Linked DNA regions of Danio rerio. The protein of the gene in region 2 interacts with the protein of the main gene of each other region in a pairwise test. Links are inferred from orthologs where the notes say so. Each region holds a gene or a part of one and is shown on either strand. Other genes may lie near its edges.

The links. The genes of interacting proteins can lie anywhere in the genome.
Region 1: the proteins of sumo1 (region 2) and setx interact in a two-hybrid assay, tested with the Homo sapiens proteins (2 studies listed by BioGRID and IntAct). The link is inferred for Danio rerio from reciprocal best matches to the Homo sapiens genes SUMO1 and SETX.

What each region holds. Positions count from the first base shown.
Region 1 is NC_133196.1:4,738,278-4,743,746, forward strand, and holds part of setx (probable helicase senataxin), read left to right. Parts: coding exon 1-130; intron 131-321; coding exon 322-415; intron 416-542; coding exon 543-4,070; intron 4,071-4,215; coding exon 4,216-4,312; intron 4,313-4,427; coding exon 4,428-4,601; intron 4,602-4,684; coding exon 4,685-4,908; exon of another isoform or gene 4,909-5,288; intron 5,289-5,469. UniProt on the Homo sapiens protein: Probable RNA/DNA helicase involved in diverse aspects of RNA metabolism and genomic integrity.
Region 2 is NC_133181.1:10,602,726-10,608,734, forward strand, and holds the start of sumo1 (small ubiquitin-related modifier 1), read left to right. Parts: upstream 1-1,889; 5' UTR 1,890-1,991; coding exon 1,992-2,003; intron 2,004-2,769; coding exon 2,770-2,841; intron 2,842-2,983; coding exon 2,984-3,061; intron 3,062-6,009. Other genes in the region: nop58 (nucleolar protein 58), read right to left, coding at 332-376. UniProt on the Homo sapiens protein: Ubiquitin-like protein that can be covalently attached to proteins as a monomer or a lysine-linked polymer.

The sequences.
Region 1 (5,469 bases), on a different chromosome or scaffold from region 2:
TCATGGTCATTTTAGACCGTCTTGGTTCTAAGATTTGGGCTCAGGTTGACCCTAATATGGCTTTCCAGACCATCACCGGAGCAGCCAGCTATGTGTGTGAATTAAGAAGCATCCAGCAAAAGACAATGGGGTAAGCAAGTTGTGCATTAATTAAAGGAAATTCATGGCATTCTGAAATGCGTTCATTGCATGGAAACCATATATAATGCAATTGTCCTGTCATTATTCATCTGTTTTGGAATATCATGTCTGGGTAAAGTTTTGTTGGCATTGTGTGCTTTATTATTGTGGGGTTACTAAATCCTTTTTTTAATTTAACAGGAGGATGGTAAAAGTAGAGCCAGAATATGACGACAATGTCGTGACTTGCAGTCAGATGGTGTATGACTGTTATGCCTCGAAAAAACAAGGCCATGTAAGATTTCTTCCTAAATATTGTACTGCACCACAGTGTATTTGCTTTTATGCAGTAAACATTGACTGCATTGCTTTAATGCATATTAGGAATAAAGCTGAATATTCTCCTAATCTTCGTCTTGTAGGCACCTGGCTCATCCAACAGTGGTGTTGGCAGCAACTATGTGATTTATGACGATATGCAATCACTGGTCAGCGTGCTTAATTCAGAGATGGGCCAGAGCATGCGTGTATATGGATGCACTTTTCTGTGGTTCATCCCATTTGTTCGTTCCATAATGGAACTTCAAGAGCACAATGCTTCCTATATTAGTGAAATCATCCACTATCTTTGTGATAAGATCCGAGATAATCGGTACATGCTGACTGGACAAGCAAGCGTGTGTGATAAAGTGACTGAGCTCTTTGCTCGTATCTTTATTCAAATCGTTGAGCTACACTATACCGAAGGACAAATGGGAATACTTTCTCGCTGTCCCCCCAAGTGGGTTGAGGTGATTGTCATGTGCGTCGTCTTATGTGATGAACCTTATGGACCCCCAGACAGGATGGGTGGGATTCACAGTGTCAGTTCAACATCTTACAGTCTTGGCATTGTAGGAAGACCTACATCAGAATGTGGGAATGGAGCAATAATTAAAGGCTGTTTGACGCTTATTCGGCAGCTGCTTAAGGAAGGGAAAAGAAGATCTGACCCAGATGCGGCCATGTTTTTGAATTTGCTTAACAAGCAGCTGCGTGGTGATACCAACAAAAGGTGGAGTCTAACTTTTTCAAATTCTGCAAAGCTTCAGCAGTGTTTGAGGAAAATTGTGCAGCTGATGGCTGAAAGACCTGCTGTTCCACCCCGATCCGCACCATCTGTTGAGGCAGCTACAAATACTGTTGTTTCCAGAAATTCAGTATCAATCTGCCAACAACAAGAGGACCCGGAGGCAGGTCCCAGCAGAGCTGCGTTTATCAAAGAGGAGCCTCTTTGGAATTATGGAAAAAAATCTTTCTCCAATGAGGAATTCTCATGTGGGCCTGAGGATGTCTTCAAGGGTAAAAAGGAACCTTCTGACCCAGTGTTAATTTCAGAGCTGAGGCCTGCTGTTGAGTTGACCAATATAAAACCAGATCTGGGTAAACTGCAGGAAATTCGATCAAGATTAAATGATGATCAGAGTTTGTCAAAGATCGAAGCAATTGCAAGGAAGAAGTCTGACGTGTCAGCTAAAAAGAGACCAGGTTTTGGGGCTTTAAAAAATGAGGAGGAGGAGGAGGATGATGATGATGATGATGATGATGATGAACCCCTTCATATCACTCGAACTCGTCTGATAAAATCTGCAATCCACAAGCTTGAATCTAGTGACTCTGACGTTGACTCCAGAGCAACTGCGTCTTCGGTTATTTCCAAGCAGAACACAGAGTCCACTACCATAGTTATCTCTGATGATGAAGATTCTGATAATGATATAAGGCCAAATGACCCCTTGAGGTCTAGTTACAAAGAATGCACAGTAAAAAACAAATCTCCAGAAAGTCCTGTAATGCCTGAGAGTCCGGGGCGTGATTATGATGATCTAAGTGAATCACAAGTGTTTGAGTTTGAGACTCAGCAATATGTGGCATCTGCTTGGGATAATGCAGATTTGGATGGATCAGTCTTGACAAAGAATCTCAAATCAGATCGAATACTCAAGCCACAGTTGGATGAAACGCCTAATGAAGCATCTCCCTCATGGAGTTCAGAGACTGAGCTGGTACCAGATGAGGACATTGAGAGGGCCTGTCAGCAGGCAGAAGAGAAGATCAGACAACAGCAGCCGAGAAAGCCAGCAGATGAGATGGAAAGAGACTATAAGCAGGTGGAAGAGAAAATCAGACCACAGCAGACACGAGAGAATTCGGATGTGCATGAATTCTCATCCAAAGCATCAAGTACTACAAAAAGCTGGGATAAATTTGCCAAACCAAAACCTCTAAAGACTAAAGTAACAAAAACCACTCCATCTGATAAGAGAGACCATTTGCAGGTTAAAAAGCCAGTGTTAATTGATGCCCTTGCTCAAAAAATCAGACGCCACCCTTGGAAACGTAGCTCAACATCTGAGGACATGGAGGAACCTTCCTCTTCAACTACTCCATCCTCATCTGCTGTATCCTCCACCTCCTCCTCCTCCTCATCATCATCATCCACTCCATCCTCCAGCTCCATCACTTCTCCTTATTTTTCTGCATCTACGTCACGTGGCACCCCTGCCATTGTTCCTCCAAAGAAGGTGCGTAAAATTGCTGAGCCAGAATCAACGGCAGAGCGTTTAGGATTGAAAAAGAAGGAAAGGAAAGCCTTTGATCTTTCTCAGCGTTCACTTGACTGTGTCGCCAGACTCAGGTGCCATGGCCAGAACGTGCAGGTGGAGCCACATCAGAAAAGAAGGCGAGCGTCTCGAACCAGTAAGACTTCTCCGCAGAAACGTATGGTGAAAGCTAACAAGAAACTAATGGGATCTCAAGATATTCAGTTTTTCAGGCAAAGTCGTGAGAAGCATCAGAAGCCAGCAACAGAACCCATTACAACATCAGCTTCCAAACCAGTCAGTCGGCAAGATGAATTGCACTCATCGAGACCAACAATTCCAAACAATGAGGATGGTGACTTCTTGCCCTGTCCTCAACCAGATGCCCATTGTCAGCAGGATAATGAAAAAGGTGCATTAGGGAGTAGCGATTCTAGTGGGGATGGGGTAGGGAATAAGTTCCTCCAAGCTAGTGAGGCTGCTGAAGGTAACTTGGAAGGAGAGAAAGCTGCTCAAGCATCAAAAGAGGATGTTGATGATGAATGGATGTTCTATACACAGATGGAACCTACAGACATGGAAATCTGTTCACAAATGGAGGAATTTGAGGATGAAAACGACGAACTCTTTCTTACCCAGAGAGATCCTGTTGACATGGACATCGATACAGATAGTGGGTCGGATACCCCTGGTCAACCTGACTTCACTGACAAAAATGTACCGCCTTCTAATGCGGCAAATGATCATTTGTTCTTGAAGCCTGGAATGTCACCCATGTCTCAGAAAAAAGCCAAACCTTCCACCACTAAAATATACACTCCCAGCTCCCGTAGTGCCTCACTTGTCCTTGAAATGGAAAAAGGAGCCAAGCCTCCCCCTCCTGCAAATGTCGCTAAAGCAAAAATTCCTCGATTGGCTTCAGCAATGCCACCCCCAGCAATGCCACCACCAAAAATGCCACCCCCCAAAATGTTCCAGCCTTTACCCCCTCCACAATTACCAAAGCCACCTGCCTTAAAACAAGTAACTCTTCCTCAGGGCAGTGTCCCCAAGTTGGTCACCAGTAATAAAATAAGCTCAACCTCAGAACCCCCATCATACAAGGTATACCAAAGACCAGAGGCTCCAGTTAACAAGCCAGTTAACAAACCAATGCCCACAATGGATCAAAGCCCAAAGTTTGACCTTTCGGTGTTAACCCAGGCAATCCTTAAATGGGAATACAGAATGCTTGATAATTATAAAGCATTTGGGAGTCCACTTGATCTGTGCCAACTGCCGCTGAAGGAGGTGCCAGTAAATTTTTCTTCCTACCTGGAGTACTTCAACACCTTGTACCCACTGCTGCTAATTAATGCATTCGAAGAGGTGGGACTACATTTTATTTCAGTAATGCCTAAATCTTTTGATATAATTGGGACTGCATTTTTTTTAAATATAGATGATTTGTTTATTGGTGTTCTTTTTCAAGATCAGGAATTGGTTTAGTTTTAATCCATTGTGTTTTCAATAGATGGCTAATGAATGGCTCAAAGAGGGAAGGGTCAAGCTGTACCTAAAAGTCCAAGGTATTGAATACAGCAATCGCACTGCTAGTGCTAGCTTCATTGGTAAGTTCAGCAATTAGGTATTCATGCTAATACAATTACAGTTTGTAGTTGTTAGCAGAGTGTGTTTCCTGTAAAGTATCAGCCTTTTGATTTAAAAAGTTGCTTTTATTTGTAGCCGGCCTTTCTCAGGAATGTGATGTGAAACAAATTTACCCAAAAGAAGATGACCTTGTATTGCTTTGGCTGCCAGACAACACTGGGGCATACGCCCAGGATGAACCAAATTTTCATGATCTACATCCTCATTTTGGCTATGTATCCCGGTCCAATGTTTTAAACAGAACTCCAGGTGTGTGCTCTGATGCTCTAATTTTAATGAGTATTTTTTGTGTTATTTTATGTCCACTGTCTCATTAAGCTGTGCCTCTTCAGGTTCCAGGTCAACATTAAACCTGACAATTCAGACACGCGGTAATGTATCATCAGTGAATTCCCAACCTGTGCTCTGTGAAGTTGTTGGATCATTGATCAGCATATTTCGGGAGTTTCGTGCACTGTGTTTGCTGAGAAACGGACCAATGCTACGTCCTCTTCTTGCGCCCCATGTGTCTTTTTTCACACATTCTTTGGATGGACCATCAGACCTAGATGCACCAGTGAGTTTGGCTTTTTACAAACAGTGCTTCCTACTTTTCTTGAGTCAGACTTTCATCTTTGCTAGGGAATTTGATTATTTGAATCAGGTGTATTAAAGAAGCCATCCAAATAATCAGAACGCTTAATGAAATGAGAATATCAGATCAGGGACACAAAACACATATGCTATGCATAACCTTATGCATTCCGACTGTAGACTAGGTACTTTAAGCCAAAATGCAACTGAAGCTCAAACAAGACGTAGGAAAATTGTCTAGAGCAGAGGTGACCAACCGTGTTCCTGGAGATCAATCTTCCTGCAGATTTCATTTGCAACCTGTATCAAGCATACCTGACTATAATTATAAAGTGCAGTTCAGGTCCTAATTAGTTGTTTCAGGTGTTTTTGATTGGGGCTGGAGCTGAACTCTGCAGGAAGGTAGATCTCCAGGTGCAGGGTTGGTTACCCCGGCTCTAGACAACTTTTCTTGGTCTTGTTTAGGTACTTTAGGCCAAAATGCAACTTAAGCTCAAACAAGACCAAAAAAAATTGTCCAGAGCAGGGGTGACCAACCGTGTTC
Region 2 (6,009 bases):
GACTACTTTAAAAACAGTCCAAACTCGACTAACAGTGAGTGTAGAAAAAGCGCTGAAGACACAACGTGGCTGTGCTGCAGAGCAGGCCACATGAGACCCGCTTTACCCTCATTGACACACCGCACTGGGGAAAAACGAGTGAGCTACAAAATTACATATGTACTAACAGCATTTGCATTAATAAAAATCCTTAGATTGTACGTTTTGTCTTTTTGAAAGTCTCGGACAGCACTGCTAACTTCGCCGGCTAGCTAAGTGTAACCGTAAAAGCTACACAACTGCAAGAAAACGGCTACAAATACATTTAATTAACACAAAAAAATGAGCTTACCTTAAAAATGGCATAGCCGGCGGCAGTTTCAAATAACACTAACATTTTTGAAACAGCTTTTCTTGCTCTGAATAAAGTTTAAGGTCGAGCTCCCGAGACCGAGAGCCTTCCGCTACAAGAAGTCGCTCTCTCCACGAGGCGCACATGGGACAGGACGAGCATGCGCAATACTGCCAGTGAAATGTGCGCATGTGCAGTAGTCTCAGCCTCATTTTCATGCACCATCACCTCGTGTTGATTTTCAGTTTTCGAGTTTTATATTCAAAGTGTGTAGAGACAATATTTTGGATAATGTCATATTCCAAATAATGAGGATGATGATGATGATGATGATGATGATGATGATGATGATGATGATGATGATGATGATGATAATAATAATATACTAAACAAAAGTTTTGTAAAAAAAAAAGATATTTAAATGTTTTAGACAAAAAGATGAATAAACAATTATAATATGAAATATTATTTCAATTTTAAATATCTGTATTGTTGTATGTAAATATGTTTAATATTCCAATGAGAGTTCAGAATTTGTTATGGTCAATTTTACTTGGTGCTCTATGATTAATAATAATTCTGCTTGATATTTCTGTTAAATACACAATACATTCAGCTTTCTAAAATTCTCAGAAGAAACTGTATTTGAAATAAAATGTTCAGTAACATTATACAGATTTTTTATATTACCTTTGATCCACTGAATTAGTCTTAATGTCTTTTTTAAAATCTATGGCATTAAAAGTTATAAATACATAAAATAAACGATTTATTGTTTTATTTATGCAGGAATTTGCGAATTTATTAACTAATTGATTTTTTATTTGCATATTAATTTATTGTTTTATTTATTTATTGCTTTATTTATTTACTTTATTTATTCATTGCTTTTTATTTTTTATCTTTTTAATTTGTGTATTTATTTTGTACATTTGTTTATTTATTTAGCATGTTTATTTATTGTTTTATTTATGCAGGAATTTGTCTATTTATTTATTAATTTATTTGTGTATTTATTTATTTATTGTTTTATTTATGCAAGAATTTGTATTTATTTATTTTTTGTGTATTTATTTATTTATTGTTTTATTTACACAGGGATTTGAGTATTTATTCATTTATTCGTGTAGTTATTTATTAATTATTTTATTTATGTAGGAACTTGTGTATATATTTAGTCATTTATTTATTTATTTATTTGCGTATTTATTTACTGTTTTATTTATGAAGGAATTTGTACATGTGTTAATTAATTTATTTATTTGCGTATTTATTTATTTGTTGCTTTTGCAGGTTTCGTCCTCCAGAGGTGTAGTGTAGTTGTCACATTATTTTTGCACTCTAATATTTCGTGACCAAAATACTGATGTGTTTTTTTTTTTTTTTTTTTTGCAAAATACGGGCCTCCCTATGTTTTACCAATAGCAACATCGCAGATGGCGATTGGAGCCAATCAGAAAGAGCGTGGTGAGAAAAACAACGCTCGTTGGGTCATCGACCCAGTGTCATAGAAAGTCCAGCCCCTTTCCAATGACGTCAACGGCGCTGTGTTGTGGGTCTGCTGGTAGCACTATCAAAACCTCTCATTACTGTACATAACACTGTATCGTTTAAATCAAACAATCTTGATCTACAGAAGGGCTGCACATTGCGGAATATCATGTCAGACACGGTGAGTCTAAACCTGTGATGCTGAATCGAACTTTCATGAGAGCAGACGAGAAAGACGGACTTATAGAAAATGAAAATAAGAGGGCCCAGCTTTTAGCCTGTCTAGCTGACTGTGGTTTGGAAAGTATTTTTGATAAAAATGCTTGAGTGTTTTTAACTGTGCATAGTTTCTGGTTCTCGCAATTTACACATTAGTCCAATTTACTGTGTTCACAAATGCCAAAAATATGTGAATTTCTTCCTCAAATCGTCCAATTAGCATGTGTGCTAGTTAGCTGCTCTGGGCCCTGAAAGCAGAGTTCATAATATCTTGAGCTGATAGACCATGCTGAACATTTGAATTAGTTATTAATTGTTGATTTTTTGATATGTTCATTAGGATTATTCGTTATTTGTTCACGTTAGTTTGTGTTCGGTTTGTGCTCGTATTAACAGCTCGCGATAGAAGAGTAACGTTAGGTTGTGTGTTTACATTCAAAGCACACACACACACACACACAGCCTAGTGTTTAAATGATAACAACACTCACAATATTATTTTATATATAATATATATATATATATATATATATATATATATATATATATATATATATATATATATATATAATTATAATTTATTAAAATCGGATCTACCTTATTTTATACGATCTTCAGTCAATATTTTATTGAATTCAGTCCCAAGATATTTTTTTAATTCATTACATTAAATCTGATAAAAAAACAATATGACATGCAGTAATCGAATGCTTGTTTTGTTTTAATAGGAGACCAAGCCCTCAAGTGATGGAGGCGAGAAGAAGGATGGAGAGTACATTAAACTCAAAGTGATCGGTCAGGTGAGCAAAAGCACTTGTTTTCTAGGAAATGCAGGTTTTCATATTTAAACCCATTACTGTTTAAAACCAATCCAGCTGTTCTTTTATAATGAGATATATGAAAAGATCTGAACAGATTTGATGATTTCCTTTCATTTCGCAGGACAACAGTGAAATTCACTTTAAAGTGAAGATGACGACACATTTAAAGAAGCTGAAGGAATCCTACAGTCAGAGACAGGTGAGTCAGTTTTTCCATTTATGAGGGATAACGATAAATCTACACTACCATTCAGAGGTTTTGGGGGGTGGGTAGGATTTTTAAAAAACGCACTAATGCTACTTTTATTCAATCAAAAATGCATAAAATCTGTATTATTGTGAGTATTGTTACAAATAGAAATACACTAACACTGTAAAAATCTTAACTGTGATCAAATTAATGCGTCATTGCCGAAACAAAAAACAATGTTTAAATAGTTGTGTATGTTTCAGTTAAGGTTCCTGAGGTCTCATTTATAAAACATTGCATAGAAACTTTCCTAAAAGTGAATGTACACCAGAATACATTTTTATTTATTTATTAATTATTATGGCTTTTATGATGATTTAAAGTGCTTGAATTAAGTCAATATTTAAGCGAAATGTGTTTACTTAAAGCTGCGCACATTCTCCCGTCAAGTTTGTTTTTTATAGATCATAATAACCTGTATAAGAAGTGGCGTACACGTGTTTCCACCCCCAATTTTGTGTATACCATGTTTATAAATGAGACCCCTGGACAGTTTATTCTCTCTTTCAGATCAATTATTTGAACCATGTTAGTTAAAACATAAAACGTCTGTAATGATCATCTAAAGGGGGTGGAGTAACAATTTATTAAGAGGAAATTCACATTAATAGATGCTTTTAGTTTTGGTACAGAAAATATTGTTACACACAGGATATATATATATATTTTTACCCATTATGAGTTTTGGTAATAAACATTTAGTTTGCTTGCCTCGGCTTTTCTTTATCTCTGCTTTCTTAAATGAAACGCAACGACACAAGTATTTACTTTCTTTTACAAATATTATTGACAATATTCCATATCATACTCTCTGCTATTATAAATAAAACATAAACCCATTATATAATGACATGCAATCTAATTCTGAAATATATATATATATATATATATATATATATATATATATATGTATATGGTCAAAGATGTAAAAAATATATTTATATTTATCTGTTGCTTATAAAGTTACATGTTTCAGAAATTACATTTTACAAAAGTATATTTTTGTATTTAAATAAATTACTATTACAGTTTTATAAACACTCAAACCACTGCAGAAATGTTGCATATATCATATACACTAAAAAAAAAGACTTTTGCGGCTTGTTCAAAGTACTTATATATAATTAGCTGAAACTTGTGTTCTTGAGGACAACTTAATTGTTTTAAGTTAAGCCCACTTAAATTTATGAAAAAAAATTAAGTTTAATCAATTTATGATGGGCCATGTAAAAGAAATGTGTGGACCATAGCATTTTTACAGTATATTAGAGATCAATTTTCTATACAAGTTAAAATCATTACCTTAAATGTTTGTTTTAACAGTTGCTGGAAGTGTGTAAACAGGTTTTTGATTGTAAATGTAGCTTTCTTCACGAGTCACTGCTGCGTTTAAAATGGCATAAATGTTATGGGAGTGCACTATGGAGATAGCACAGTTGTCAATTTGAAGTTTATAAACTGAACTGTAATAAGAATAACTTTAATATAAAATGTGAACAAGACAACCTTTAATGTTTTTAAATGATTCAGAGTATTTGTGTTCAAATGGACAAGGGCATAGGGTGGATGATTCAGAATAGAACACAGCCTGGAACTCTGCATCTAACTACAGCTCTAGAGGTGTAGCTCCAACCAACCAAGTGTGTGATGCTGTTTGTGAATGTTTGCTATAAGATGTATGGATGTATATTTGGAATAACACTGAATTGCTGAACTATTTTTGTAATGAAGGAAATTGTGATCTTAGTTGGTTGGCGATGGTTTTGTGAACAGCACCATTATTCTAGAAAATGCACAAAGACAATATCAGAATTTGCTTTAAACAAAACGATTTGAGAAGTTTAGAACAACTGAATGAATTCAAGTCTTGTATTTTCATTACACACCGCTGTTTGTCATTTTTAAAAGTGTGTATTTTTAATGTAAAAATGTTCAGCTCCACATTACTCTGATTAGAAACTGATAACGAGAGTGTGCGATCGTTTACATCTGACTTTACTTTGCTGTTTTATATTTGTTCCATATCTAAAGATTGATTACAGTGTGTTGGAGGTGAATGTATTTAGTCTTTAAGTTTATTCTCATTCATTTACTCTTTATTTACTGTTTTTTTTAAGAAAACCAATTCAACCAAATCATACAGTGTGGTATAGATCAGTACGGTGTGGGTAACCTTTATCAGGCTTGTGTCTCCACTGCCAAATGGTACCCTTTTAGTAGTAGGCATGGAGGCAGAAAGTTGCAGTCTACATCATGTCACTCAACTAAAAGTAAAGCCATATGGGTCGTTCACATATCATATGAGAAGCACTTCTCACAAAACAGGTGCTTTATTGACCTTATTCTCCGCAGACGAGTGGGCGCTGCCATTTGAATCTTTTTTGGCACGAGACTTCCGGTCTCATTCACTTCCATTCATTTTTAGACATTAAAAACTGCTCGTTTCGCTGTTTGATGTTGCAAACTGATATTTCCTTGTTATTTTATTCTACTTGGTCTGTGTAGTCATGCAAACATTTGTTTGTAGAGCAAGTAGTTTGACCGTTTTTTGCCGTTTATAATTCCTTGTCATTTCTCCCATAGGCGACTGAAACGGAAGTTCTAAGACAATCGTGAAATCAGGCGCACTTCCGCATTTTAGAATAAGGTCAATACACATAAATACTTATGTAAAAAAATGTAATTACTAACCTTTCTATGAACTTTTAACATCCGCAATAAAATGCAATGTGAACATATACAGATCCTTACAGTCTCCATTACAAATTTACAAAAAAATTACCCAAAATGTACATTTAGGCCTTATTTGAGTAAAAAAAAAACAACAATACAAAACATAGTCAGTGCAACCCTCTCATTTGTTTCTTTATTCCTTACCAGCACATGTAACTCTTGTT